2 linked regions of the Xenopus tropicalis genome follow. The protein of the gene in region 1 interacts with the protein of each later gene in a pairwise test. Links are inferred from orthologs where the notes say so. Each region holds a gene or a part of one and is shown in the gene's direction. Other genes may lie near its edges.

Region 1 (16,263 bases):
TTGTTCAATCTACAATTTAAAATTGTATTCTTGAATAAATTCTTGAATATTGTTTCCCCTACTGAATGTAACTGGAGGAGTCCTGGCCAGACTTGGTTGTTTAATATTGAGTGCTTTTCTCATATCTTCCACTATGTGGGGCATGGAAGCATTTTTAAGCAGTGCAGGTATCAGGGAGCTGCTATCTTGTTACCTGCCCATTGTTCTGTTGATAGGCAGAGGGTGTGGATATTTCAGCTTGCTGCACAGCAGTAAAAAGACTGAAGTTCACCAGACCACAAGTCAAATGGCTAAGGGCACCTGGGAAACTAAGAATATGTCTAACCCAACTTCAAAAAATGATGGAGGAGCGCTAATAACTGATGCATTTTGTGAAAAACATGTTTTCTCGGACAAATCCCTTTAATCTTGTGTGGACTCCTCTAAAGGCTCTGAACTGCAGTGCCTGCCCTAAACATTCAGGTTTTTTCCCATTTCAATAAGATGTCATCCTTTAGTATTTGCATTTACTAAAATGTACATGTTTTTGCCTATTCTTAGCAATAGCAGTGCAAGTAGCACCTGTAAATCTACTCCATATGTCAGGGTTCATTTGAGTGATTTATCAGTGTTCACAAGACTTTTTATTAATGCTTTTTTCACCAAAAACACACCGCTTTATTTATGCTCTGTTTCTCCCAGATGGCCATAACTTGAGTAAAAAGGCTAAAACACAAACATGAAAATCTTCCTTATTAAAATTATACAATCGGAACACAGCCAAATTCCTGCTCACAAGTACACACCTTATTTGTATGCCTACTGAGTTTTGGGGCTTTGCAGTTGTGGTTATTTGCCTGCTACACTACTAGATTGCATGTCTGCTTCCTCTCAATTTAAAGTAAGCAAGGGTATACGCTGTTTGTGTCACTATGTAATAGACTCCATAATTCTGTTTCTTACAGGTACTGCTTGGAGAGATCTACAGAGAAAACAGTGTAGCAAGAGTGATTGTGAAGGAATTAAAGGCAAGCGCTAACCCCAAAGAGCAAGATCACTTTATAAACCATGGAGAGCCATACAGGTACATTTATTGCTGGGAAGTTATGTATCTTGTCCCCTACTGTTTAAGAAGGCAGAAATAATCAGAGATGTATAAAAGGGCTGACATAGGCTTCAGCAGAGAACTGCAGCAGTCAAAATACCTCAAATCACCTGTCGCTCTTCTCCCAAAATGACGGTAAATGGACAAATGCTGTCTGAAGGCAGGATAAGCAAGTGCAAATAGCAAGAGATGAATATATATACATACGTGTAGCATGTACTGTGTTTGGAACTGCTTGTAGAGAAGAAAATAATTAGTTTGTGTCTTAAATTTTACAAATGAGGCACAATTCTGCATTTTTACGTAGGGGTTAATTTACTAACAAGCGCTAAATTGCAGTTATTAATGTGTGAGAACTTCTGCATTCTTTACTTGGCAGATGGTTAAACACTATCTATAGACTTGTTAAAACCTTAGAATCCTTCCTTAGGGATACCAAGCAATAACTTTTTAAGTTATGAGATGGTCCATAAGAAACGATGATGTTTCCATAATTTATTAGTGGTTGAATCTTTACTGAAAAGAATCAAGGTCTGTTTAGCTGACAGAAGGCTCGAACAAGGTTTGTTTCTAGGCAAATGTAATGTGCCGAGATTTCTATTTCATTTTCTGATAAGCACCTCAAGTCCTGTTAGGATTCATAGCAGGGATATAAGCTTTTCTCTATAGGTCAGAGCCACTGTTTCCAATAAAGTAAAATATAGGCTACATGGTCCAGGTTTTTTGCATCTCTGCTAGCAAATAATTTGCCATGTGTACCATGATCCTTAGCCACAAACATCTAGATAAAGGTGTGCTGTAAATCTTGAATTTGTTTTAAAGGGACAGTATATACACCCTTAATCAACATGAGTTGAATAGGGCTTGTGCTAAATACACAATGTCATGAAAAATCTTTGGTTTTTGGTATTTCTTGAACTAAATAGGGCAAAGTTAGAAATTCAAGCTACTCCACTCTACACTGCAATTTCTATATTTTTAAGGTTTAAAAAAACATGTTTACTGTTTGTTAAATAATGAGAGTATAATCTAATGTACCTGAACTTGAATGAAAGATACCAGGGCTATTTTGGGTGACTTTCATCTGACTAAATACAGGATTTAATTTTGGCAGTAGCCCATCAAATAAAACGTGTGTTTTAATACATATAAAAGGCTAAAATGATTGTGGCTGAATTTACTTATCTTTTATTCACTTGTCAATTGTTTTTCAGTTTTCTTCATCATCCTAATATTGTGCAGTGTGTTGGGCACTGCATTGAAACCATGCCCTATCTCTTGGTGTTCGAGTTGTGTGACTTGGTAAGTCAAGTAAACAAAATGACTGTATAGTACAAGTATGGGGCCTATTATCCAGAATACGTGGGACCTGGGGTTTTCCTGAGAAAAGAACATTTTTTAAAAATTGGAATTATGTGCTTAAAACGGCCTTCCCGTAATTTGGAGCTTTCTAGATAATGGGTTGCCAGATAACTGATCCCATACCTGTACTTAAGGGCATGAGATAGCAAATGGAAGCATCTCTTGTTCATTTAAATATTGTGCATTGTCTGGATTTTTTTTTTTTTTTAAATGTGTTTTTTTTTTTTGTTTTTCTTTTTTTATTAACAACCATGTGTCTGGTACATTTAACCAGTGGAATATCTTTTCCATTGTGCTCTATAATTGTGGGCATGACAGTGTGTCATTGTCTGCACAGAATAGTTATCAGTGTGAAGCTTTGATAAGTTAAAGGACAAAGAAAGAGATGCATATGTTATAGGGCCTCTCCCCATTTAAATTGTACCACCCACACTCCCTGACATTGCCTCACAACTGGTAATAAAAAGTAGCTTAGCACAATGGGGTCGGCAGCCACCATGTCTGTCTGCTTGACTTCCTCTTCCTAGCTCTCTGGCAGCGATCACCCACCAGGATACAGTGCAACTAAAGGCAGGAGTATATTGGCTTCAGCTGTGCATGTTGCTCATCAGTCATTGTCTGTTTTTTTGAAAAGGTAAAATGTTTAAAATATATTATGTATTATTTGGTAAATCTAGAGCATTGTTATTTTAGTGAGCAAGAACTTAACTGCATCCTTTCAGTTTTCTTTTCTGAATCACTGCCATTTGTGATTTCTAGTAAAAATGTCTGATTCATAACAGACTTCATTAAATGCTATTCCAAGGTCAGTTACCTTCTTGTCTTTCTTATGAACGAGGAGGCATTTTTATAAAGATTTATGGCTAACATTTAGTCAGTATATCAAAAAGTATGATTGCTTTATAACAAGTTTTATTATTTATAGTAAGGTGAGTGTCTTTACACCTTAGCCTGAATGACTAGAGTCTGGAGGTATTTATGGCAAATCTCTGGGTATTGTAATGTGTAAAATGTAAGGAATTTATGATATACTGTTCTCCCTAGCGGCTCATGGCAGCATAGTAGTAACCTTACTATCGCATTACTCTTGCACGTCTTATATTTGGGTCATAGGTTGATATGCTCTCTGTCCAATGTCTCTAGGGTAATAGCAGCAGTAACTGTATGTGATCTAAACTAAACCTATTCAGGAAAGCAATTATTCATTTAGCGAGGGACTGTGCTTTCTGTACTTTGGTGGGCCATCTGCTAAAGCCAGCTGCTTGGGAAAATCAACTCTGTGGTTATATGTAACCCTGCCATTTCCCTAACCTTAGCACATCTGTAATCTGACTGCCTGTGTAAGGTAGCTGCCTTAAGGCTGAATGCAACTGTTCAAGAATGAGGAGAATGTTACAAGTATATTGTGCATCAACCAATTTACATAGCAAGCAATAAATACAGTAAATACAACTTCCCCAATTGTGATAAATGTCAGTATGTCTTCTTAAGCAGTGCCAATGGTTTAAAAAGAATACTTGTGTGCTACTTTTAAATAATTTTCTACCACCAACATGTCCAAGCTGTGAAATAAAGCTTAAGATGAACATGTCCTTTTAAAGGAGAAGTAAAGAGTAGGCTAGAATCGCTGCACATTGTTATGGGCTTCTATACCAGCCCAAAGCAACTACTTGCCCCCAGCACAGCGGTTCTCAACCTGTGGGTCGGGACCCCTTTGAGGGTCGAACAACCCTTTAACAGGGATCGCCTAAGACCATCGGAAAACGCATTTTCCGATGGTCTTTGGAAAAATTTTATGGTTGGTGGTCACCACAACAGGAGGAACTGTATTAAAGGGTTGCGGCATTAGGAAGCTTGAGAACCATTGCCCCAGCAGTTCCCCATTATCTTTTCTATTGATTCATATGCTTTGTGCTGTTGTTACTGAGCTTAGGGACTGCATAAAACTGAGTCACAATACAAGGTTAAATAGCAATTCATTTAGTTATTAATTATCTGGTAGCTCACAAACCAGTGCAATTTGGACCAGGATTTAATAAAAGCTCTCCTTTTAATACCATGCCGCAGGGGAGTTTATTCATCTGCACTTGGGCGTACACTTGTGCACAGTAGAGTAAAAATGTACTAAAAATACTACCTATATCCTGCTGCAAATTTCAGAAATAGTAGCCAAAAACAATCCTGAAATCAAACAAATCTGCCACTAAGTGTTAAAGGGTTAGTGACACTTTTACACATTTCAAGTTCTTTTGACTGTTCTGGTAGCGTATCTGCCCATGTATGAGACCCCCGACAACCCCCCCCCCCCCCCCCGTTGATACCTGCCCAAAAATCGTACAGGTGTCAATCAGGTCCCTAGGGCCAAACGATCAAATTAGATTGATATCGGGAGAAGATCTGCTCATTTGAGAACCTCGCCAAACAAGTGGATCTTACCATGTATGGCCACCTTTATTAACATTAAATTTGGACGGAGGGGCAAAGTTTAGATGAACAAATCATATGTAAGCCAAGCCCCAGCCTGTTGGGTCTTTGGGTCACCCCTGAAGTCAGACACCTACCAAGGGTAAAGTAGCTGCAGTGACAGGTACACTGACAATTTACTTAGCTTTTCCATGGTGCCTTTAGCACAGATTCACATGTGCACATGCGCAGTAAAGCTGAAAAGATAAGGATACAGCTAAGCTGAGCTAGGTGGCAGCATCTAACCATTTAAAAATAATAGTCTCCCTACAAAAAAGTGGTTTGCAAGAAAGCCGTTTTATTCCTGTTACGTACTTGCCTTTTAGGAAACTGAGGTTTACAGGCATGCTTCAAAATGCTCAGAGAAGCAACATCTGCCTTCTCACAAAAGTACTGTAGTAGTAGTAGTATTGTACTGGGAATTTTGTACCCAGGGCTACCATAGAAATGAACCTAGTTTCCCTGCTTTTAGAGGTGAATTGTTTGCATCTCTAAGCAGTATCCAAAACTGACTGCCATTATAGTAGTGTAGTATAGTAGCTACAGAGGTAATGAGTCTATCAGCGGGAATGTAGACTAAATATATGGAGCTCATGGCCCAGTTATAAGCAATTCTGTTTTGCAGAGCTAGGGCCCTTTGTTCATTTCTGACCTATGCAATGGGGGCAATAGATTTATATGTATTTTTTAAATTTATGTAGCACAACTTATGTATGGAGCGCTGTACAGCAAATCAGTAATACAGAAACGGGTAATTACAATAATATAAAGTACAGTTACATTAAAGATTAGGTGCTAAGTGGCAAAGAGACAAGAACAAGGAGATCAAAGTTTCAAAATACAAGTCTTGTTTATGTTTGACCTTTAAGTTATAAAATGTACTGTTTCTCTGTTTAATGATTTGCCTTACTCTTCTTTAAAGTGTAGTTTACCTTTCAAATACATTAATATGTGTCCAAAACTATTAAACTGCAAAACTTTAATAACCTTGTTGAATACTTAGAAGTTTTTCTGAACCGGCAAATGAGCCCACTAACTTCTGCCTCCATTTTTCTTTTGCAGGGTGACTTGAAAACTTATTTAACCAATCAGAGAGAGAAATTGAAAGGGGATACAGAAATTGTGCTGCTCCAGCGAATGGCTTGTCAGATAGCAGCAGGACTTGCCATAATGCACAAACACAATTTTGTGCACAGGTATGTACTATTAGCAGCAACGCAAAACCTAGGGGACTGACGAGCGGAGACGGCACTGGCCCGGTCCGTTTGTCAAATTTTAAGTCAATGTGGCCCCTGAGCCTAAAAGTTTGCCCGCCCCTGGTCTAGCACATGGGATGTAAAATGGCTTGCCTAGCACTATAAACATTTAGTAAACCTATACAGCTCCATAAATGTTCACATACCCAAACAATATTGCCACAGGAGCAAACAGAGGCATACACCCAAAGAGCAGAGATGAAGATGATTTACACCTTATTCAGAACAGTTTCTTGCAGAAATCTTTATTTTTTTTATAATTCATGAACTTTAAATGAAGGATGTGTATTGCAAAGAAGTCTGAATGAGTGGAATTAAACCACCGTCTCCATTCCACTGAGAGGCCATGTGTTTACTTCTGGCAACAATATCCTGATGCCGTCTGAGTGTGCGGGAAAGCTCCAGCATCAGTGATTTTGTTGGTGGTGGTAAATAAAAAGCATCTTAGACTCTGCTTTGGACTTCGCATTTATCATTGTTTTAATGTCTGATTAACTTTGTGCATGTTATTTTAACATGTTTCCTTGCACATAGAAATGTAACTTTATCATAACTCATTGAGTATACTGGTAGCTACCATCTGCTTAAAGAAATCTGTTTTGAGTTTGGTTTTCTGATTTGGTGAAATAACTGTTACGTTTGCATTAGCCGCGCTTTTAAACGTTGTCTGTATTTTTCAGTGATCTGGCGCTCCGGAATTGTTATGTTACATCCGATTTAACCGTAAAAATAGGAGACTATGGCATAGGATTCACTAGGTATAAGGTAAGTAGGGTTTTTGGGGTTTTTTTTTCTTCACTTCTGTAAAATCAGTGTCAACATTCTGATTAGAACACTGATACTCCCATGTTGGGAAGCTGTTTTGTTCAAAAGTAATTGCATTACAATTTTATTTTTAACTAATTTATTCACTGGAGGGCACTTTCCCTACCTCTTTATATAAAAGTGGCTCCTGCCACTGACATATTAGATCTCAGGCATACTGTAAATAAAAAGATTTAGCCTCTGGCCGACATGGCCTTATCTAATATTGGGGTCTCTTTTAAACACTGGGCAAATTTGCCCATACGTAGTAACCCAGTAGCAACCAATCAGTGATTGGTATTTTTTAGCCATGTTGAACAATTCAAGTGAACATCTAATTTAATTTGGTTGTTATGAGTTACTGCCCAGGTACAAATTTGCCCAATGAGCCCCGAATTAAAATTTGCTGAAGCCACAATACAGAGTTTCTCCCATATATGTGTGTGATTACACAGACGCAAATTGCACCCATGACAAAGAAGCCAGCTGAATGATCTTGCTTATACACCTAATTTTTGTGGTGTCATGTAGAAAAATTAGGCAGAAAGGTGACATTGCATTTTAAGCCTGATCAGCATGTGTTAAGTATAGAGGGCTTCCTTGCACCTTTGTGTCCATTTGCATTTGGAGCTAGAAGTGGCTATTCATGGGTTTTTGGTGTGAAAACAGAAGCAAACTTGCTTGAGCTAAGCCTTAAGTTGTTGTGGCCCTATGGATTCACTACATGTTTCACTTAGCAAGAAAAGCCACACAGAACACATTTTGTAAATATATTTCAAATGCAAACAAGAGAATGGGCTACGTGTAAATGCTATTTAATAACAGAAACCTACATACACACTGTAGGCTGGATTGTGTTCTGTGTCCTGATGAAAAATGAATATAACTTTTTTTGTTTCTTTGTAATATAATCTAATAGATTTTTGACATTTTAGGAAGACTACATGGAGACCACTGAGGAAAAGTTTATTCCTGTTAGATGGACTGCTCCAGAGTTAGTGACAAGCTATCAGGATCAATTACTAGTGGCAGATCAGACAAAGTCCAGTAATATTTGGTAAGGTGTGTGTGTGTGTGCCCAGAAAATGCCTGTCTTTATACATGTGGCTTAGTCCCAGAATTTATCTAGATTTTATTTAAAAAAAAAAAAGTGTGATGTCCACTGCAGAGTGCCATGATTGAAGCACATAAGGTCCAATAATGAGTGCCACATGTCAAACTGCAATACATATGGATACATAATATCATAATGCATAAAAAAACCTATTGATGATTTTCTTATCTCCAGGTCACTAGGGGTAACACTTTGGGAGCTATTTGAAAATGCAGCCACTCCCTACGAAGATCTGTCAGACAGTGAAGTCTTGGCTCAAGTCATTAAACAGAGAGAAGTTAAACTTCCTAATCCGCAACTGGAACAACCGTATGCAGACAGATGGTAACGTAAACTGTTCTAATATACTGGAGTGTGAAGGCTTTTTCAATTGCAAATAACTTGTCCGCAAAAACCTTTTATCTTTTCAGTCTCCTTGTGTGATGACACAAATGTATCTGCTTGCTATTATTCACTGCAAGACTTACCACTGATATATCCATCCATTGAGTGGTCATACATCCCAGCAGGCTTGGATAAGTCTGAACAGCCCTTTCCTGCTAAAGGACCCACAAACATAGATTTAGCTGATTTCTTTTTAGTATATTGAACAGTACTGCACTGTACAGTTAGGTTTTAGCATGGCAGCCAACATTATTGTGTACCTTGCTGTTCCAAACACAGTACTTAAAGGAGAAGGAAAGGCTAATAAAGAGTTAATCTCAAGCTGCAGGCATACCTTCAGTTCTCTCAATAGTGCCCTTAAGTCTCCCCATATTTCACCTGTTCAGATGATCAGAAGCCAAACAGGAAGAAAAAACGCTGAGTTGTGTAAAGAAAGTTCCCATAATGCCTCACTCCTGCACAGAGACCGAGACTGAGTGTACATGCTCAGTTAGTTAGACTATGAGTCAGCTTCCTGCTGATTGGCTCAGATCCACATTCCTAAGGGGGGGGAGTGAGTTCTTAGCATTCTTGAGGAAAGGGGTAGCAGGAGAGAGCTGCGTGTTTTGAATTACACATGAATTACAGACACAAGAAATCCTTTTTTTTTTTTTTTTTGTTTTAGAGAAGTCAGTGCAGCGTTTCTGTGAGTGCTTCTGGCTGTATTTACATAGACCTTTCTGATAAAGCTTACTTCGTTTTTATCTTTCTTTCTCCTTTAAAGGGATAGGTGAATATTTCTTGAAAATGCAGAATTGCACCTGTTTAAATAAGTTACTGTTACTTGTGGTATTTTTAAAGTGAATATGATGACTGAGGTGTCATGTACTGAAAGGCACTAAGTTTGCCGAGGAGCAGTAACCCATAGCAACTAATCAGCAGGTAGCATTTACTGGTCACCAATTTAAAAGCAGTCTTTTTATTGGGTGCGATTGGTTACTGTTCCTGGGCAAACTTAGTGCCTTTTATTACATGTATGTATTTTTTTTCCCCCCTCCCGAGGAACTACAAAAGGCTTGAAAAAAACATTTGATGATTGCCTTGTGTGCCATTGCCCTTAAAACCATCACTTTGGCCATATCTTTGGCCATATCAGTCTGTTTTAGCAAGGCATGTTTGTTCTGTTCTTTTATTAAGATTAAGACTGGAATGTGTAGCTGGGATATAGTTATTCCTGGGGTCACAGACTATAGAAAGAAGCAATCTTTAGTATTTGCTTAATTATTAAAATACCCTTAAAGCTTCTTTATACAGGGCAACTCATGTGCTGTTATTAAGTTTATCCTTTATGTAGCAATGTTTATATGTATCTTTGTAGACCCTAATGGTCAGACACAGCGGGTCCATGCCCTGTAATGCTGCATAATAAATGTAGTTCCCTAGGGAAGATAAGGGGCATACTTATAAACCCCCATGTTGGGTAGCATAAATATATTGTCAAGCTAAATGATTAATTTCTTGTTTTTAATACACTGCTCAACCAATTAATTTTCTTTCTGTTGAAGGTATGAAGTTTTGCAGTTCTGTTGGTTAACTTCAGACAAAAGACTCACTGCTGAAGAAGTCCATAGACTACTTACATACCTCCGCATGCAGAGCCAGAAGGAGACGGAAGATGACTTTGAACAACGTTGGAATTCTCTTAAACCAAACACTAGTAATCGGCAAGCATCTACAAATAACTTGGCTTTTCCAATCTTGGAGCATTTCAGTGGCGATGAGCTAAGCCAAGAAATGGATGAAGTTCTTACTGTTACTGAAACGAGCCAGGGGCTTAGCTTTGAGTATGTATGGGAGGCAGCCAAAGAAGACCACTTTGAAGAGCAGGGACACTCCGATTCTGATGCTACGGTCAATTACAATAGTTTATTTTTCCCAGTGCCTGTTGATGTTTTACAAAAGCCAGGTGTTGATGCAGAACAAGGGAAGCCAGAACACAGTGGGCGCGACAACACCCTTGGTGCTTCGGAAGTTGTTCCAGTATTTGATTCCCACAATGTTTCGGTTGCCAATGAATATTATATTCAATTGGAGGAGCCAGGAGAAAGCAGATTGGACTTTGATAATAAGAAACAAGAATCAGAAAGTGCAACTTTGCAGTTTATTGCCCTTAATGAGCTCAAATCATCTGGAACAAACATAAAATCTGATTTTCTTCCATTTGAAGCTGAACATCGCCATCTACCAGAATATCTGCATGTTTCTAGTGACAGTTTTCCATTCTATAACTCAATTAAGAATGTTGATTGGTCTGATAAAAAGCCTCTTGGTAGTACTGTCCGTGAGCTTCCACTACAAAATGGTCTTCACGCTGACAATCCCTCCCTTCCATTTTCTGAAAGCTTTAAATATTCTGAAAAAGAGTCCACTATTTGGGGAAATATTCTAGAGACTGACCCCGTTGTACTAAATGTGGAGGAATTGTCTGAAAACTTCCTGTTTCTTAGAGAAAATCATTTGTTATCTGACTCTCTGTTTAAGGGAAACAAAACCTATGAGCCTCAAGCAGAATTTTCAAGTAAAGTCAGTTCGCAAAAGCTCTTTGAAATCTCCCACACAAACAGTTTGGATGTGGAACTCCAGCTTTCAGAGTTAAATTCATCTGTGCTCCAGTCAAATAAAACTAGTTTTGATAACTCTCCACAAACTGGGCAAGAGAGTGGTCTCAAAACAGAGTTAACCTTGCCCTTACCTAATACAGAAGGTCTGACAAATGATTTTTTTGTAACCTCAGTGAGACCTGGACTCACAGATAACCAACATACAGCTATTGAAGTTAAGAACGTAAACCATGCAAGTGAAGGTGTACCGAACAGCCAGCTTGCTCCTAAGAGCCATGCTGCAATAGATGATAGTATTGATCTTTACAGATCAGGCAGCAATGAAAATATATTTGTTCTGCCAAGCACCAAAGTGGTTAATGATGATGCACCTTTAGGGCAAGCGTGCCTCAACTCTGTAGAAGCTCCTTCACCCCAGCACCACACAGACAGTGCCAGTGTGAATGATGATGACCTAAATCCATTCATTGTAACGTCTGCTGTTCCATCTGATTCTACAAGTCAGGATAGCCTGTTAGATGATAGTTCAAATTTTATGCCGTCTTTGGTGCCATCCATAGGAACCCCTGATTCTTTAGACTCTTTAGATGTTCAGAATGTGCTAGAGACTCTGGAAAGTGAAGAGCATCAGAAATTTGGACATTCCGATAAACCTGCTGATAGCGGCTACGAAACGGAGAACGTGGAGTCTCCAGAGTGGACATCTCATGCTAATGGGCAGTTAGGCCATGACCCTAATGAAAGGAATGGAGTGTCTGCTGCCACTGCTCCGATTATAATCATATCAGATGCTGACCATCTGTTGGATGATGTCGGCAAAACCCAAATGCCTACAGATGTAAGTCCCAGTTCTTACAGAGACTCTGCTTATTTTTCAGACAATGATTCTGAGCCTGAAAAGAGGCCAGAGACCAATTCAAATCTGCCAGTATTACTCACATTTTCAGTAACAGGATCATTGTCTGAATCCACTGATAAAGTAATTAGCCCCGAGTTAGCTGCCAAAAATGAAACAGAGGTGGAAATTGTGTCACAAAAAGATGACCCGAGTTTTCCACTGCAGTCCGTAGAACAGGTAGAAACCGACCTGAATAAACATGAGGATTCAGAGGAGAATGAACATTATGAAGAATGGAATGATTTTTCACCCAGTTCTGAAGATGATGCAAACCATTTTTCAGCTGAACCAACCCGCCCAGAAAATGATGAGGATTTTCTAAACCCTTTTGGAGCATCAGAGATCTTTTCTTCCATGAATAAACTGAAAGAGATGCCAATTGTAAGCCTCCCTGATGCTCAGAAATTGAAAGAGCCTGATATGGAAGGGAAATACCTGGGAAAACTCGATGCATCTGGCCTGCTGGATTTGTCATCAGAGGACGGCATGGATGCAGATGAAGAAGATGAAAATAGTGACGACTCTGACGACGATATAAGGGCTTTTAATCTTAACAGTTTTAGCTCTGATAGTGATGATGACATCGTCCATCCTGTTCCTGTTGTTCATGTGGAAAATGATGACGGAAGGCACCTAAAAAGCCTAATAAAATCAAGCAAACCTGCTACTGACATGTTCTCTGAACTTGAGAAAAGGAGCAGTAAAGCTGTGAGCTTCTTTGATGATGTCACGGTCTATTTATTTGATCAGGTGAGTGTCTGCTAGCCATGGCCGGCACGTTAAACACTTATTCTGGCCCTTTATCCCTTGATAAGCCTGATGTATTCTGCCACTTTTGTTTCAAATGTTAGCTTAACATATCTATTTATCAGAAGCTTAAAGTGACCTGCTTACAGGAATAGTTCACCTTTAAATTAACTTTTAGTATGTTATAGAATAACTAGTTATTAGCAACTTCTCAGTTGGTCTTCATTTTTTAATTATTTGCATTTCTGTTCTGACTCTCTTCAGCTTTTAAAAGGCTGTCACTGGCCTGGCAGCCAAAAATGATTGCTCTGTAGAGCTACAATTTAATTGTTTCTTATTATCATTCAGGCCCTTTCCTATGCATCTTACAGTTTCTCATTCAAGCTACTGCCTCATTGCTAGGGTAATTTGAATCCTACCAACCATATAGCTGCTGAAATTCCAAACTGAAGTGTTGCTGAATAAAAAGTTAAATAACCCAAAAAATTTCAGAATGTTTCAGAATAGCACGCTCTACAACATACTAAAGATTAATTTAAAGCTGAGCAACCCCTATACCCCAACTATATGGTGCTGGCTACCCAGTTTGTGTTTCTATGACCATCATTAATGGTTTGAGTGTTTCCATGTGTGTGATGTTGGGCAAGAAGGCATTACCTTTTAAATGTATATGAAGCTCTTGCTGTTGACATTAGATCCTGAATTTGGCTAATTATAAGATTCAGACTCATCATTGGTCATTTCAGATATACAATTATGATTCTTAAAAGGTTAGCTTTTCATATGATGTAGACAGACATTGCATTTGTCCTCATTTTTTTTATTTTTGTGTTTTTTTTTTAATTATTTAGCTTGTTGTTAACCAACTCTTCATTTTAGGCTAATGTCCCACTGGGAGATTTAGTCACTGCCATTTTTAAAAAGCGAGTTCCAGCAACAAGTCGCTCGTCTTTTCCTAACAAGCGATTACTAGAGATTTCAACAACAGAGCGATTCTGTTTCCCACAAATCCAAGTGTCATATTCCCCGCCCACAATTAGAAATTACATTCAGTGCAATATGGGGAAATCGCAGCCACTTCCCACTCAGTGGGTTTTACTTTTAGCGATCCCAATGCTTTCTCTGTAAAATCGCTCGAAAAAGGGTCTTATAGCAATTTGGAGTGATAAGCGGTTTTAAGTAATATCATCTGTTTAGGTACTGATGATTTATATTCTTCTCTATGTAGAGACAAAACAAGCGACTTGATGCTGGAACTTGCTTTTTAAAAATCGCAGCAACTTAATCTCTCCATGGGATATTAGCCTTAGAATTTCAGCAGGTGTCTGGTTGCTAGAGTCCTGTTTATGCTAGCAATCACTGGGTAGATTGAATAAACAACTGAATATAAGACATTTTTGGAAGCTGATGAGCTATTCCAGTTGACTAAAGCAAAGTCTGTATGTCTTGGAGACCCGTTACTTTATTGCATATTATAGAAACTTCACCTCTTGGCTGAACAGCTGACAGACCTGTTAATACTATTTTGTGGCCCCAAAATAGCTGACCCCTTGTTTGCTGAAAATAATTTGAATTTTAAAGTTTGGTGCACTTAATTATTGTGTAATTTTAATTTTTTTAGGAAACTCCAACCAAAGATCTTGGTTCTCAGGTGGTGGATACAAACAGCCAAATCTTTAGTAGCTGTCCAACTACTCCTCCTCCACCCCCTCCAAGTTACCTAAACCGGTTTACAAACTCTGAGAGTTCTACTGATGAAGAAGGTAAAGAAAGTTTGCGCCAGTGTCTCAACTGAAATTTTATAACTCTTCTATTTCCCCTTTGTCAGACTACATATAAAGAAGCGCCTGCCCAGATTCATACCCTGAGCTATGGCTATAACAGGTCTTTTCCATGCAACTAGCTTTTGTCCAAAGTGCTCTCCCTATGACTACTTGCAGAAGGAGCACTACCAATGGATATGAGCAGGCTCGTGGTCTTGGACTTTAGCATGTGGGTAGCCCCAGACCTAATGCAAATGCGGCAGAAGGGGCTATTTAAGATATTAAAAAGGTGTAAAACAAAGCCCCTTTAGATTAGTATGCCCTAAGGGGAAACGTAGTGCACTATGTGTCAGTGAAGAACAAAGTTTTTTGGTTTTTTTCCCTCTATACTGTTTATTAAAATATGTATGAAATATAGTAGCAGTGGTACAATTGCAATTTGTAAATATCCAAACTGAAAACAGAAACATTTTTTAGATTTGGCTTTTGTGTTTTTTTTAAAACTTTTGCTATTCTGAATCTGGCAATTTTAATGACTGGTTCCTGTGTATGTGATATATTATATACCTTTCATATAATAACGCTGCTGTTCTTTTCTTTTCAGGGGGCGGCTTTGAATGGGACGATGATTTCTCCAATACCGAGCCTTCATTTTTAACTAAACCAGCAACGGGCTTCAGTGGGCAAAAACTTTCCATGAATCCCTCTAAGTACTTCTCACCTCCGCCTCCAAGGAGTTCTGATCAGAACTGGACGCACACCCCGTCTTATTCACGTTTCTCTATTTCACCAGCAAATATCGCCAGTTTCTCTCTTACGCATTTAACGGACTCCGATATAGAACAAGGAGGTGAGGTGTTCAAAAAGAATCAAAAGCAGATTTAACATGGGATAAGAAGTTCCTCTTGTTTTTCTGGGTGCCCCCCTGCAGGCCTGGACTGGCAAACATTAATTCTGGCAAATGCCAGAATTTAAGGTGCCAGAGACAGTCACTATTTATTGGTCTGGTGGGGGGATGTTTGGGCCTCTTTGTACTTGAAATTCCAGGACCTATTTTGAATCCCAGTCCAGGCCTTTCCCCGCTGTGTACTGGTATCCTGGGCATAGTGTATGCAGATGTAACTGCTAATAAACACCAAACAATAGGGCACAACATTCCTGAACTTTTCTGATTGTAACTGATACAGTTTCCACTTACCCTTGAGGAGTGCAGTACCAGTAACAGACAACTGTGGGGCATTGGCGCACCAACATTTCATAGAATAATAGAACCCCTGCAAGTTCTCAGCAAAGTAAGAGCTTGATATGAATATAGCAAGGAAAAAAAATCCATAATAGAAATGTTTATTTGCACTTGCATTGTGCGCTTGACAAGCGATAAGATAAATGTCCCTGTTAGCTTTCAGCACGTTTTTTTCTGCAGGAAAACTCTCTCCAGATTAGCAGTAAAGTGACATTGAACTAATGTGTGATTCCAACAGATGTGTGGGGGTATGAGAGGGGAACAGCTGTTCCTTGTCTTTTTAGTTAATATTTAATATATGCTGCTCTGAGTGAAGGGAAAAAGATCACTGGCAGTGGGTTTTTTTTTTTTTTTTTTAAAGTATTGCTGGCAACAAATCCAAATATTTATTTGGAACTGCCTTCCCCACCAAGGAATCTGCAGGGAGCCCATGAAACAAGTCACCTTATAAGCCAGTCCTAAGTCTGAAACAGTGACACTGCTCCTAGTTGTAACTTGTTCCTTATTAACTCATTAAAGGGGACATATTCCCTGTAACTCTATGC
Region 2 (16,263 bases), on another chromosome or scaffold:
CTTTTTAACGTATTTATTAATGACCTGGTGGCAGGCATTAAAAGTGCTCTGTTTTAGCTGGTGATACTAAACTGTGCAAAACTATAAAAGCAAAAAAAGTTCCATGCAAGATACTCCACTTTGCAGAGTGATTAGGGCAGCAGTATAATACAGGTTTAAAACAAGAAGGCATTTGTAAATGCCTGGTACATGTACCAAGCACATAAATGGGTATATTATTAGGGCCATTAGTATGCAATAGTACCTGGTCCCTGTCAGAGCAGCGAGGGACACGGATGGGCATGTGGACATGGATGGTGCTTTGTGTTTATGTATTTGCACTTTGCGCATCTTCGAGGTAGAAAAAACCTCTTTTATGGTAAACTGGAAAAAACTTCAACCTTTAACAAAAAGAGAAACCTGCATTACCATGTCTTTAATGTAAAAGAAAAGCCAGCCAGAATAAAATGACATTTTATATTGTCATTTCTATGTGCATTTTTGCCTTTTGTTGCTGTGCTCAGTATATCACCACTGGAGATCATAGAGGTCTTAACATTCTTGAAATGTAGCTGTGGATGCGCAAAATCATTATGTCAGAGAATGAGTTTTTATTACATTTTCCAGACTAAACCCAGAGATAACCCCTCTGTTACTTTATGAGAGTATTTTTTAGTCTAGTTGCAGACTGAACAAGGATTTAAAGTTGTTTTTCCCCTTCAAGTGTCATTATTTCCCTTGGTACTTATTGGTATTCTATGACTTGTACAAAATAATAACTATTGTCTCACCATTTTAGGGGTGGGCAAGTCCAAGCTACAAAATCTGCTGCATCTGTCAAAAAACATGATTTAAGCAAGTGGAAATATGCAGAGCTACGAGATGCAATCAATACTTCATGCGGTAAGCTAACAGACTGCTAAACAACCTATTCCATTCGTGAATATAATCTTACTTTACAGTGGGTACATATTGTTATTTCTTAAAAGGCATTTAATTATCAATATGTGGTTTTAGGAAACTGAATACAGAAATAATACATGCTGTGCTCCGTGTCACCTTCTTCTGCCTTTGTGACACTTGTCCATAGAATCACCTACATAATTGCTCCTATGTGGTACCCTGTAGTATGCTGAACAGCAACCCAGTTTGCCTCAAACCCCGACAGTGCATTTAACCTGTTGTAATGCTATAGTAAGTTGTGTTAGTGCCCCTACCATAGGTCACCCACCTACCACCCTATTTAGATCTGCATAAAACGGAAGAACATAACCATTTGCCCAGGGCTCCAGAACTGTTTGGCACAGCCCCCATTATCCAAACAAAACATAGCTACCTCCGGCCATGTATTGAATACTTTTTGTACTTATGCTAACACTTAATGCCAGTTCCTAGCAGTGCCTGCTCTTAACTCCTGAATGTCATTGAATATAGTGCAACTGCCAAAGCATTGTATTCTGCTGTCCCCCAAGCCCTGCCACACATGACTATCCACTTACCCCACAGCTACATTTACCAATCTGCTAGAGTAGATTGAGCATAAACAAAGCAATGGGCAAATTGAAAAGGAGCTGCCTGGAGCCCAATATCTAAAATCATATAGGTGGATGTATATACTCTTTGTTATGCAGGTGGACAATTTGAAAGGATATTTGTTTATATGGATGACTATGTTTCTAGTATTAAAAAAAAAAAACTGTTATACTTGTTATACTGTTATACTTGTCTGTTTTGTGCTTGTATTCTATGTTCTCTAATGTTTCTGTAGGCAGAATTTCACCTAACAATGTTTGGGCATCAAACTGGCAAAACAGACCCTGGCAGCCTTGTATAATGCACTCTTATTGGCTGTTTCAGTGTTTCCCATTAACTATGCCTAGAAATAGCACAATTCCTTCCTCTGCAACCAATTTTACCTCATCTTCCTCTGTCACTCACAGAGCTCTTATCCTGCATTTTAGAATTAGATGTAGCAGTTCTCAGGTGGATTCTACATCCTGAATCCCTTTTTTCACATCTATGTACTCTCATAAATGCCTTCTGCAAGTTCCTAGAAAAAGTTCTGTCCATGCGCTTTAAGGCATCATTATCAGTTTTGCGTATTCTCCATTCTGATTAAGGAGGGCAACCTTTCTTTGTGATCCAAAACACTGTCACATGGGTAAAACTGTAGATGTCTTTCAATGGTTAATTTCTCCTTTCATCATATAACTTATTCTTCCTGACATGCCATTAGAGACTTTACTGTCTTGTTGTATTTTAAAATGGACTGAACAGTTTCTATGCGGCTTTTCCAGGTAAGACTAGAGCTTCTAATGGTGTATTACAAAGGATGAAAAGATGAAACTTTGGACAGAAAAGTCAATTAGATCTTTAAAGGGAATGATTTAGAAACGTGTATGTGGCCTAGATTTCGGGATAAGAGTTTTTCCGCAAAGCGTACTTAGTAATGGAAGTCCGCAGTATGTTGCTTTTGCTACAAGCTGTTGTTAATGTATTGATCTGCTGGATTTAATTATTAGTTAATTATGGCACAGTGTTCTGAAATTTTCACAGTAAATGTGTCTTTGTGAAACACATGGGGTGAGGATTTGTTTCTTCAGTTTTTTTTAAAATATGGTCAAATATAAACCCAAAACACTTCAAATAATATAAGGGTATGGGATACATTATCCGGAAACTTATTATCCAGAAAGCTCAGAACTACAGGAAGGCCATGTTCTATAGACTATTTTAATCAAATAATTCACATTTTTAACAGTTATTTCCTTTTTCTCTGTAATAATAAATCAGTAGCTTGTACTTGATCCAAACTACGATACTGTATAATGAATCCTTATTGGAGGCAAAACTATCCTATTAGGTTTATTTAATGTCTAAATGATTTTTAGCAGACAAGGTATGGAGATCCAAATTACGGAATAAACCCTTATCTGGAAAAATCCAGGTCCCCAGCATTCCAGGTAACAGGTCCCATACTTATATAGCACCCAACAGGATACTACTTTTTATTATTGAAAATATATTACCCCAGTGAAAACCATCTTTTAAGTGGCTGATATTTGGCTGTAGGATGAAAGCAATATTTTGTCCGTATGAATATGTAGCTCTGTTTATTTTATAGCTGTACTAGCAACTCTATCATCAATAACAATATGAAATGTTTAGTACCAGCGCAGCAAAAATCGCTTCACTTACATTTTGAAAAAAAAACGCTATAATGCTTTTTCTCTTTGAGCTTGCAGAATGTATTTGTTTCCCGATTTCTCCTGGTGCTAAAATCTAATTCCTTCTTTGCTAAATGCAGCAGTGCTGTCACGCTTTATGAAAATTCTTGTTATCTTTATTGGAGAGTATTCTGGCAGAGTTGCCATGGGACCTTTTTGAAATGGGTTATTTACAACACTGAAGGCTTTCAAACCCTTTAATAGGATTAATAGCAGAGTGAAACAAACACATAGGCTTTACAGTAAGTCATTTTATGAAAAGGGGATATCAATAGACTACAGTGCATTCATTTAGAAAAAGGAAAAACCTAAATAATTAAGTCAGATTAGCAACTCCCTGGAATTGCTTGACAAATAATATCTTGCATTTTTAATTGCAATGCAGAGGTGCTGACACTTCAAAGAGAACAGAAAATGTTTTCAATATTACATATAAATTTGCATCACTGGGTTTGCGGCTATTTATTATGAAATATATAAAGTGATTAACTGTTGAAATTCATCACCCTTCCTCCTAATAGACTCACTGCCCATAACGCCTTTTCTTTTTGAATTGTACAGATATTGAGCTCCTGGCAGCATGTAGAGAAGAGTTTCACAGAAGACTGAAAGTTTATCATGCTTGGAAATCCAAGAACAAGAAAAGGAATGCAGACACAGAACAGCGTGCCCCCAAATCTGTCACTGACTATGGTAAGTAAAGTGTCATGTACAAAATGAGATCTAGCACTTTATCCTTTACATTCACTTTATACTGCTTCCATATTAATAAATACAAGCAATCCCTGAATAAGAGAGGAGTCATCATGACACTCGTCATTACTTCTCATATTTATAGCATTCCAGTTGGGAATTCTATGCTGTTATCAACCTCTCTGTAGGCACAGTTATGATTTTGCATTTATGGATCATACTTTTCTCTCTTTCACAAAAGTATAACCTGATTTTAAAAGTTCTTCACTTTAATACCTCCTCTTGTTAGAGGATCACTCTCTCACAAGTACCCTGGCCAGGTGCAGTTTTCTGCTAACAGGTGCACCAGCCCTGGGTACCACCAGCTAAGTGATTTTCCTTCTCCTTTAAGGGATTAAGTAATATATAGCGGAATGTTTCTTATAGTTCTTACCACCTATAGCAACCAATTTGAATGTAGCATTTATTGGTCACCAGCTTAAAAGCAAATGTTTTATTGGTTGCAATGGGTTCTTACACCCGGGCAAATATAGTGTCTTTTGTTACACATTGGGCAGTTGTTATAATTACACCGGACAACCCCATATTGTTTTTGTATTCCCCTGCTGTGTCTCCTGGAAATCCACTCCTCAAAAACCCTCTAAATAGGGTTGTGAATCTTAGTGGAAGCTCTTACGGTGCTTCACAAACTAATGTATAAATTGTTAGAGGGAAATTTCCTATTTATTCCCTTGATTATCTTCTGTTTCACAAGGACTGTCATTTACTGTTCACTTTGTATAACCTGCCATTCTTTCCATTTTTCTATATGCATTATTATAAAAGTCTACACAATTGCCTCTGCAAAGTCACTTATAACCAAGTGCTGGATACTGCTGTTATTCAGAACAAAATATCAGGCTATGTATTATTTTAGTTAATTAAACATAACATTTTTTTAAAAATATTTATGTATATGTAATATATGTAAGATACCATGGAAATATAATAAATACTTCTTTGTAATATATTGAAGAAAAGCAAACCATTGCATGCTGGCACCTATGAACCTAAATACCGAGAATATTCCTTCCCATTAACAGGCCTGATCATCGATATGTAATTCATGTAACTGACGGCATGTGCAATGCATGTTTTCAATGTCAACAATGTCTGTTTTCAGATTTTGCCCCATTCATGAACAACTCACGTAAGTGCCGATTTGGTAAAGGAACTAACGTAAGGGAAGTGGGAGATCATTTCCAAGCTGCTACTAACCCAGTTTTGCTACAGTTATGTTAAAACACATACACTATCTGTCAGAATATATCCACTTTATTTGTCTTTCCCAAATGGCCTCAATATTGGAAATGTCTTATGAGCAAAGTAATAGATCAGTGCTGTTTATTTACAGAACAGTAACTGTACCTGCTGTTACAGCTCTACAGCTTGTTAGATATAAGGAATCATGGCGGTGACTGATGGCAGCGCTTCCGCTGAACTATTTAACTCTGACAAGCAGATATGACTGCTTGTACATACAGTGGTATGAGAAACTGTAATGTATTGTCAGGCGGGTGCTAAGAGGGGATGTCATTTATACTGATCCCTTGACATGACACATAGCTCATAACTAATGAAGTGCTTAGAGGTTTTTTTTCTCTGTGTGAAACATAACTGTATCAAAGAGCTTAATGTGAAGAGAGAAAAATGGTGTTGGATACAGAAATAGACTTACATCCATGTGGTTTAGAACATGAAGATTTACTGTAGCTGGTCTCACGCAAGGCCATTGAAATGCGTCCGGTGACATGCTTAAAAAAACATTGTTGCTGATGCATGTATGAAATATACTGGCCAGGTTTTCAGTTGCCTATAATTAACTCTGTGCTTTAATAAGACTGGCCTTCGGGAAGCATAGCAACATTCTTGGTTGTCTTTTTTATATGACTGGAAAGAATTCTTGGTCTAAATCTGCAGTAAATGGAGCTGTACTGCCAGAATATCCCTTCATATAATCAAGAGATGCACAGCCTAGTAAAGCTTTATCTACATTGTATTTACAGTTTTACAGGTGTGTGTGTCTGTACTAAATGCTATGGCTGAATACCCTTAACTGAAGCCATTAACAGTATTTTATTGGTCAGTGTAAAAAGCAGACAGAATGTTTTCTTAAGCTATGGTCACACGTTCTTACTTATATTTTTAAGAAAAACTAATCAGTAAAGCCCGGTTTGCTTCTCGCAATGCATTCTAACTCTAGTGGTGGAGGGGCAAGTTGATGGGAGTGGCACGCCAGCTCTGTGGTTGGAAATGGTTACTGTTGTTATTTTGCCATAGGTGGAAGGCCTTGGATGAAAGTGGGAAAAAAACACTCTAATCCCTTTAACAGTAGAGTCAATTTTAACAACTAAAGGAATTGTCCAAATTGAAGTATATAGAAGCCTTCTCATCATAAAGGGACATCAATTACCCTAGTGCACAGCATATGCTATTCTAATCCTTTGATCTATCCACTTGGTGCTTTACCATGTTTTGAAGGCTCTCCAGTGTGCTTTATTGGTGACACTGGAAAGATGCTGAAATATTTCACTGATACACCGTGGAGATACAGATTGGAGTTAGGGGCTCCTGCTTTAGGGCAATGTCACGTTAAAGAGAAGATTGATGGAGAAGTTGGGCGAAATCCAAAGCGATGCCTATGTTTTCCTACAGGGGAGACTAATCTCCTCAAGTGACATTGTTAATCATTTTCCTCCTAACTTCTGGTTTTGGGCATATACTCAATAAATATATCATATCTTCCTCTTTGTGTAACATACAGCACCCAGCTATTGATTGCAGGCGCACACCCATAGTGATTGATTTTCACTTTTTTTGTTCATTTAATGCTTAGAAAATCAGCACTGTGTTAAAATCTTTTATGTCACTAAGACTTAGTGCCATGCTAGGCAAGCCTTATCAACTACATTGTGTTCTAGAAATAGACTTGTCAGAATTATTGGGTGACAAAAACTGAAGTCTGAAAAGATAGTAGGAGTGTAGCGTTCTAAAGTGAAATGTGTCTGTGGTTTCATTGTGACGGATCCATTTCATGCACGGTGTGACGCACATTACATTGTATCCTGGCCCGAGATGTCAATCTACTGGATTTTTGTTAAAAACCTCCATTAGTGAGAAAAGGGTATTTAGTGCAAGTATTAATGTAGAGAAATTCTAGAGGTTTATTTTGAGCCTTGTTTTTTCAAAAAGAATTTTTATTTTTACATTTTCAGGGTTGTCATTAAAAGGTTGTTACACAACTAAAGTGTTAATTATTTCTGTGCTCTACTGTTTCATCTCCCACTATCACAGCCCTCTACTGGATTAAACGTGCTATTTAACTGTGCTCATGTGTAAGTTAAGAGCTAGTTTTTCTGCCCTTTTGCCCACCTCTACAAACTGAATATTTTAAGTCATATATATAACCTAGGCCTTTGTGCTGCGTTATGTAGCTTACACCCCCCATTTTCTAGAGCTTTTTGTGGAGCCGTAATTGCCATCCCTGTATATACCGGTATAGGATCCCTTATCCGGAAACCCGTTATCCAGAAAGCTCCGAATTACGGAAAGCCTGTCTCCCATAGACTCCATTTTAATCAAATAATTTAGAATTTTAAAACTGATTTCCTTTTTCTATGTAATAATAAAACAGAACCTTGTAATTGATCCCAACTAAGATATAAATAATCCTTATTGGATGCAAAACAATCCTATTGGGTTTAATTAATGTTTTATTGATTTTTTAGTAGACTTAAGGTATGGAGATCCAAATTACGGAAAGATCCCTTATCCGGAATACCCTTGGTCCCGTGCATTCTGGATAATGGGTCCTCTGTACTCTGATTTTCTTCTGGTCCTACCCTTTTTATATAAAATGAAAAAGAGACAGTTCTGTTGCTCTGTTGCCATGATAAATGTATTTGAATATCAATATGTTTTAGAAATGCTGTTTTGTTAAGACCAGGGTTTGAAAAGTATTATCCAATTTCTACTAGTTAGGAAATCAAGTGAAATTCTAAAGACAGTGAATGGGCTGTTATTTCTTAGGATCAGGAAATCTCTAGATTGTAATTGTATAGTACATCATACAGTACACCACATACAGTAGTTAACACTGATACTTTTTAAATACAGTCTCTTGTGAGTAGTCTTTGATTTGAGCAGGCCAAGCCTTATATATATAATATATAACATAACATTTATATAACATGAAAAATGGAGATCTGTAGCTCTTTGGTTCTGAGTGAGCACAGTCAGGTATCTGTTGTAAGTAGAATGACATCTCAGTGGATTTATTTATACTAAGTTATGAGGCTTCCTTTAAAAAAAATAGAACAATCAGTGGGGTGATGTATGATTGGACAGGGCTCTATTCAAAGGATGCTGTATACATTGCAACAGAACAAACAGGCTATGTATTTAAAGACTCTAATTTAAATAGACACAGGGTATCGAGGGATGGTCCATTTTGGCTAAAGTCTACCTGTCTTCCTTAGGTAATTTGGCTATATAGAGAGTCTTCCTTCCAATATCCTTAAAGAAATAGTAACAGGAATAAATAAAGTAAATAAAATATAATGTACTGCTTCCTTGCACTGGTTAAACTGGCGTGTTTGCTTCAGAAGGACTACTGTAGTTTATATAAATAAGATGCAGTGTAGCCATGGGGACAGCCATTTAAAGGAGAATAGGCTCAAGTTACATAGCAGATAAGCTGTGTAGAATATAATGGCATTCTATAGAGCTCATCTTTTCTCCGCTATTTAACCTGTGCCATCTAGTCCTATTTAAATTATATATATGATCCTGTGTAGCAATGTAGGTATACACAAAATAGTAGTGTTTCTCATACTTTTTACGGTGTCACTGTTCCTCCAAAATTAATTATGCAAGGTTGTTGAAGACATTCTGACTGAAACCATCATAGAACATCTAAAAAAAAGCCCATGTTGAAGGATCATGCCAGTTTTATAGCCACTATCATGTAATGACTGAGGAGTTCTGGGTTTCCCACACTCGTTCAACTCTCTCTTACAAATCTTCATGACCGAAAAGAAGTTCTGGCAAGATTGTGATTTCTTTGCACTGCTGTAATGAAAATGTGAAAATGATGGGTAGAAAATAGAAGCTCTTCCTGTCTGGTCCCCTGAGCAAAATGAGGGTTTTGCTTGTTGTCGGACACAAAAGTAGAGGTTATAGGTTCCTCTTAACATTCCTGCCTTGTCCCGCCAAGAAATAAAAGTCTACTGTTGTTGGTGTAAATACCTGGGAGAGTTTCTTTCTAGTCTGCTACATATTAGATAGGAATGAAATGAATAGAGACGTGTATTTAAAATGACTTTTATCCACTGTAACATTTACGGGGCCATTATCTCATTAACCTGTCTCTCCAAATGCATCTGCCCCTCTCTTCCTTTCTGACAAGTGTACATGGAGGAACAGACTGAGAATCTGATACCAAAACCCATGTCTTTAGGTAAAGATAGTGTTTATAGCCTTTCCCTTCTACTAAATAAGAAATCCATTCTTAGAGGCATGATTGTGAGCAATATTACTGTAGTTATGGTAAAGGCAGAGTAAGTGAGCTTCAGTCATTCTAAGAAGCCTGAAAGCTGTATGAAATGAGTGGTGCGACGGATTTTCTATTATGCCATACTTTCCGCTGAGGAAAAAATATAGGCACGATAGAAAAGTGTAGGTCAGAGCCATCATTTAACTGTCAATTTGTTTGGAGATTATGTTACTGCTCTCAAGTAGCTATCTGAATATTTTAGGTTTCACTGAGTGTGCTTCGGTTTCACCCTAACAAATGGCAATCAGCAAATCTCTTAAAATTTTAAACCACTTGATAAAAGGAGTTTTCATATTCATTTTGTTCATTCATTTTTTTCTCTTGTAATAGCTCAACAGAACCCAGTAGTGCAACTCCCCGCTAGGCAACAGGAGATCGAAATGAACAGGCAGCAGCGTTACTTCCGCATTCCTTTCATCCGTCCTGCTGACCAATACAAGGATCCGCAGAACAAGAAGAAAGGGTGGTGGTACGCACATTTCGATGGTCCCTGGATAGCTCGGCAGATGGAACTTCATCCAGACAAACCTCCCATTATGCTGGTAGCCGGTGAGTATTATATCTGTGTGTGTATATATATATATATATATATCACACACACACACACACACTATATTCCAGTACAAATGTTTGCATTTCTCATTTATAGTTTTTATTACTGTACACCATAACATTAGTGTTTTACATTTTCTTAATATTTTTTGTTTTCTTTTCACACAGATCTTAAATTCTAGAACAGTTACCCCAATATTTTAATAAGCTCTGATTTCCTGTTCAGAAAAACTGTCACAAGTTGTCTTGTATAACAGGGTTATACAGGGTCATTCTAGATGTAGAGGCACACAGTATCTATAACTATGGGAGAATTCTACACGCACAGTGTTCAGCATTTTGCTGTACCAGTATGGGATCCATTATCCGGAAACCCATTATTCAGAAAGCTCCGAATTACAGGTCATCTGCCATAGACTCCATTTTAATCAAATAATTCACATTTTTAACAGTTATTTCCTTTTTCTCTGTAATAATAAAACAGTACCTTGTACTTGATCCCAACTAAGATATAACTAATCCTTATTTGAGGCAAACAAACCTATTGAGTTTATTTTATATGAGTTTCAATTTTACATCCCCTGATTTTAAGTTTTCCCTCATTTTACATGTTTTTTTCTGTGGTCCCGCCAATATAAATATAATGCATTATGCATTTCCCTGATTTTACATTTTCCCCATTTGTTTCTGGACCCCTGAAAATGTTAAATGTACAGTGAATTGATGAGCTGGGGTGGGGAGAGTTGCTGAGGAGCAGTGTGCGGGGGAGGTGAAGGCATTACAATGTGTGATAGAATCGATGTGCTCGTCATTCATCTTTCATTGCCAGACAGCTTCGAAAAGCCGAATTAGGGGTAGGCAAAGAGGTATGTGCCCTTAGGCATGTTCTAGCCATGCACCTCTTGTGTCTCCTCCTTGTTCTGGCTCTAAGAAAGGTTGTTTTTTTCCAAAGCAAAAAACAGCACATCCCAAAAGTTTAGTGCATGTATGGAAAATGAATCCACTGGTCTAACACCCTACGAACAATTTTGCTTGCACCACACAAAGAATTCTTTAAATAATGTAAGGTGTTCTATTGTTTTTTAGGGAAGGATGATATGGAGATGTGTGAACTGAATCTAGAAGAAACTGGGTTAACAAGAAAAAGGGGAGCTGAGATTTTACCTCGACAATTTGAAGAGATATGGGAGCGCTGCGGAGGAATTCAGTACCTGAGCAACGCGATTGAAAGTAGACAAGCACGGCCAACTTACGCTACAGCAATGCTGCAAAATCTACTGAAATAGTTCTCAATCAATGGATATTAGTTACTGTCTTGCAGCCGACAAGAAGGGAACTCGGCCTCTGCAAGAGCAGCAAAACATTCCATAATCTTGTAATAGAGAGTTTTATTATAAAGTGAACAGGTTTCATTAATTGTGGGGCTTCAGTAATTTGTATTTTAGTTGTTTTATTTTGGTGTAGTTGTAGTTTCATAGTGAAGTGGCCCTTGCAGGCACCTTTTTTATTAGTAAAATATAGACTGTTTTATTTATGTTGCATCTGAAAACGAGGCCTTACATATATAATGCAGTTGTTCAGTGTGCTAAGGGATGTTTGAGGCAATGTATTTAAATCAACACTAAACCATGATGCACTTTTCATGCTACCTGTTGTTCTGAGAGTGCCTTCTGGTTAATACTGGTAGACAGTGCTACTTTAAACACGTCCCATGGGGGGCAGTGAGAACAGGTGCAGAGATTGCTCCTAGACTAGTAACCCATAACAAAGAACCAAATGTTTGCTTTTCAGAGCAGCCGGTATTACCTGCTGAAGAATTGCTAGAAGGAGCAAAAATTACATTCCCATTAATATCTAGTTTTGTACTCCATGCTAGCTTGTTCTACTTGATACGCACATCACCCTTGCATCAGCTCTTCCTGTTTATAGGGGAACTCCCTTAATAATGAAACCAATTCCATAATGTCATTTTAACCTTCCAAAATAAACTATTTTATTTGATTTTAAAATAATGTGTGAATGTTATTGCTGTTGAAAGCAGTATCTATACAGGCCATTGCCATGCTACACCTGACTGCCTCCAATTCCCACAATGCCTTGTCCGTCACTTAAGGGGAACTCCACCCAAACACAACTTAAGCTTTTTGGAAAGTACATGTAATTTTAATTTCATAAATTCAGTATACATCAATCAAAAATATATAGCCTTTTCATGATTTTTAATGTAATAATATAGTTTGGAACAGTTACCTAAGCCTGGCCCCCTTTTCTCTTGCTGATCTGTCTGACTACTTTGAGACTCAAAGAAAATGTAACAGTAGTTGACTGTCCTCATCCTGCCTTCAGCCTGTATCCGCCAAATCCCACAATTCCCTGCACATGTGATGTCAGTAAGGAAAGGAACCTTACAGTGCAAAGCATGTCTGTAAGCTGTGTCCTGCATGCTGTGGAGATGTTGTTACAATTTGTCATCAATTTGACATCAATGTTTTAGTCCCTCCTTCCCTGCCAGGGCTTCAAATTATGCAGAAAGGCAAAAAGGTTTTGCACCTGGATTTCGGCATATAAAAATGGTATTTATTCATATGATTTGAATGAACATATTACAGTGATAGGTATATTAGGGGTTTCTGTGTTGCGTAGGGCAAATTTTGGTTCTGAAGCCAGAGTTCCCCCTTTAACCTGCAAGGCTTTGTGAGAAGTGGAGTCTTGGCTTGGAAAGAAATGGATACTGCTACAGTTTACTGAGTCTGAAGGAACAGTCTATATCAACTACATTTACAAATAACATTACCACTATAAAAGGCTTAATTAATGTATATGGTAACATTGCCTAGAACTACATTCATTCATTATGCAAACTGTCATTTTTTGTGTGGAGTTCCAATTTAATGCCTGCTAAAGAGATCTAATGGTTTGATTAGATGGTTTAACAAGCATTGTGTGCAATATGATTAATTCTGCAAGAATCCGGATACGCAAGGAGTGCAACCGCTTCTAATTTAGAATCAGTGTGTGATCTTTCTCAGTTTGGACCATCAGCCCATGTCATTTTCAAGATTATTAAGCAGCTCTAATTTGATTTTAATTCATTAGCTTGGAAACATGAGGTCGGGGCTGCCCTGGCTGATCAATTTGAGCTCTATGTGTGGCCAGCTTTATTACACATAATTACATATACAATATCATACTACACTGCTAAAAGTATTTATTGAAGTAATGATTTGGATTTTACCTAATTTTTTGTTTTAAAGTAGAAACATATGTGTTTGCATATCCCTAGTACTTATTACAATATTATGGCCTTGCAGGTCAGTTCTATGATTTCTGTTCTGTAGTAAAAAGTGTGTGGCTGTTGTTACCACTAATATTTATTTGGTTTTTTCTTTAATTGGTCATTGAAACGTTACTGTATGACCATGTAGCGCACATATAGATCAATGAGCAACTGTGAGTATGTTATGACAGCACAAATAAGACTAATGGCAAAAAAATGTAAACAGGGATATAGACTCATTTATCAAGCATTTGGTACTATTGCTTGAAGTGAGACAGTTCTTTTAAGTGCTTGAATATGATGCTTTTAACTAAATAAATATAGTTTTATTTTCAAATCTGGAAGCAATGAGAGAAAAACAGACACCGTATGGTAAGATACTGACGCAGGGGTTGTTATTTCAAGAGCTGACTCTTGTATCAAGATAGCAGTGAGGCCTAGAACCATTCCTGATTCAATATGTGACTGGTATATTGTCCCATAATAGCAGAAAGGTATATTTAGAGTTCATACAGTAGGGTACATTGTTAAACAGTCTTAAACTGCGCTTTGATGTGTGGTAACAAAGTGCTATGTACTTTAACTGACAATGCATACAGATGGAGCAATGGCTACTCCACATGTTTTTTTTTTTAAATAAAAGACTCACAGTATGTTGAAGTATTTTTAGGTATCTTACAATGGTTCATTCCATATTCAGCCATCTGCCTAATACATACCAAGAAATCATTTGGGATAGCAAGTGCTCTGTCTTTCCATTTGTTTCAGCCATTTACTGTTTATTCATTCATATGCACCTTAAAAGAACTTGTCTAACCTGGTGTTTGTGAGGAAAATGTGATTGAATGAGGTTTCTTTTTGACACTGATTTATGGTGTTCTCTGAATGCCATTTTCGTAAAGGCCAGCTTCTTCCCTTCCAGTATGGCTCCATAGTTATTTCTTGCTATAACAATAACTTGTTATTATGAGTTACACCAACCTTCCTATCAACACATTCACTTATTTAACTGACTGAAGTCCTCAGACCAAGACTGGTGTTTAAATTAGGTTGAAATTGAATGCAACACCGATAGGTTTATGTTAAAATGAAATTTACAGCAGGCAACTTAAGGAATGAATGCATTGCACTTTGACTTGTCCTCACCACATCTAAGGTAGCCCCCCTGGGGTGTCACTGTGTAAATCTTAAGAACTGCATCAGCTTATTGATGATATCAGCAATGTAGAAGGGAGGGAATTAGTTTATATTGTTAATGATAAATATCTACATTTATAAAAAGTGTCTTAAATTATAACCTGCCTGTACGTAATTACTTGTTTTAAGCAAACTCTTAAAAAATGCTGGCTAGAGTTGTTAGATGTTGGCCTTGCATCAAAGGAGCATCTTAAAGGGGTTGTTCACCTTTGAGTTAACTTTTAGTATGATGTAGAGAGTAATATTTTAAGACAATTTGCAATTGGTCTTTATTTTTTATTATAGTTTTTTAATTATTGCACTTTTTGTTGGAGCAACTCTCCAGGTTTGAGTTGCAACATCTATCTGGTTGCTAGGGCACAAATTACCTTAGCAACCAGGGAGTGGTATTAAAGGAAAACCATACCCCCAGAATGAATAATTAACCAACAGATAGTTTATATTATGCTAAGTAACCTATTAAATAATCTTGCCAAACTGGAATATATATCAGTAAATACTGTCTTTTTCATCCCTTGAACCACCATTTAGTGATGGGCTGTGTGCTCCCTCAGAGATCACCTGACAGGAAATCATGCAACTCTAACTGTAACAGGAGGAAGTGTGGATGCAAAAGACAAAACTCTGTCCATTAATTGGCTGATGGGGCCTAGCATGTATGTGTGCCTTGGCTTGTTTGTGTGCACTGTGAATCCTATGATCCCAGGAGGCGGACCTTAATTCTTAAAATGGCAATTTTCTATTTAGGAGTACCCGATAGCACATACTACTAAAAAGTATATTGATATGAAATGATTTATTTAGATGAAGCAGGGTTTCATATATGTGCTTGTTTGTGCAATACATTTAAATAATAATATACATACATACAGTATATAAGACCAACATTGTTTGGTGGTATAGTTTTCTTTTAATAGGAAGGGGCCTGAATAAAAAAAAAATAGGTTATAAAATGTAACAATAACAATATAATTGTAGCCTCACAGAGCAACAGCTTTTTGGCTGCAGGGGTCAGTGACCCCCATTTGAAAGCTAGAAAGAGTCAGAAACTAGAAAAAAAAAAAATAATAAAGAGCAATTGAAAAGTTGCTTAGAATTGGCCTTCTATAACATACTAAAAGTTAACTTAAAGCCGAACCACCCCTTTAAATTGTATGTTACAATTTCCTGGGGACCCATGCCCTTAGTGCAAGGTATCTGTATCAGAAACACGTGTGAGCAGTGTGGCATTAACAAGCACAGCCTTAAGGGTTGTTAGTGGGCAAGTTAGTGGAATATATTTATCATGCTGTGTAAAAAGTGGAGTAAAACATTGTCGGTGATGTTGCTCATAGCAGCCAATCAGATGCTTTGCTTTGGTTTTCTAACTGTTGAAATCTAATTGCTGATTGGTTGTCCAGGGCAACATCACCGGTAATGCTTCACTCCACTTTTTACACAGCATGATAAATATATTCCACTAACTTGCCCATTGACGTTGCTCATGAATAAAATGGCACTGGCTTTCAGTTGGTAAAATCACCTACTTCAACATTATGAAATGAATTAATTTGTGTGGAACAATTTTCTTTGTGTTCTCTCCTGAATAATATAGATTTTATTAGATGTTGGTTTTAAAACTTGATCTCAGCTGTAAATTTTTTTTATTTATGTTTTACCTGAAATGATCTCTCATAAAGTGTACTGTATTGTTAGAAAATAAACACATTCCCTGACAAAGGTGTCATGGTGCTTAGAATGAAACC

What was found.
Region 2: the proteins of lmtk2 (region 1) and myo6 interact in a two-hybrid assay, tested with the Homo sapiens proteins (2 studies listed by BioGRID). The link is inferred for Xenopus tropicalis from reciprocal best matches to the Homo sapiens genes LMTK2 and MYO6.

Annotation. Positions count from the first base shown.
Region 1 is NC_030685.2:25,909,154-25,925,416, forward strand, and holds part of lmtk2 (serine/threonine-protein kinase LMTK2), read left to right. Parts: intron 1-944; coding exon 945-1,063; intron 1,064-2,298; coding exon 2,299-2,386; intron 2,387-5,971; coding exon 5,972-6,105; intron 6,106-6,527; exon of another isoform or gene 6,528-6,587; intron 6,588-6,845; coding exon 6,846-6,930; intron 6,931-7,904; coding exon 7,905-8,026; intron 8,027-8,257; coding exon 8,258-8,407; intron 8,408-10,011; coding exon 10,012-12,715; intron 12,716-14,333; coding exon 14,334-14,475; intron 14,476-15,079; coding exon 15,080-15,325; intron 15,326-16,263. UniProt on the Homo sapiens protein: Phosphorylates PPP1C, phosphorylase b and CFTR.
Region 2 is NC_030681.2:90,518,024-90,534,286, reverse strand, and holds the end of myo6 (unconventional myosin-VI), read left to right. Parts: intron 1-778; coding exon 779-882; intron 883-3,767; coding exon 3,768-3,899; intron 3,900-5,061; coding exon 5,062-5,088; intron 5,089-9,822; coding exon 9,823-10,041; intron 10,042-11,130; coding exon 11,131-11,330; 3' UTR 11,331-12,053; downstream 12,054-16,263. UniProt on the Homo sapiens protein: Myosins are actin-based motor molecules with ATPase activity. Unconventional myosins serve in intracellular movements. Myosin 6 is a reverse-direction motor protein that moves towards the minus-end of actin filaments.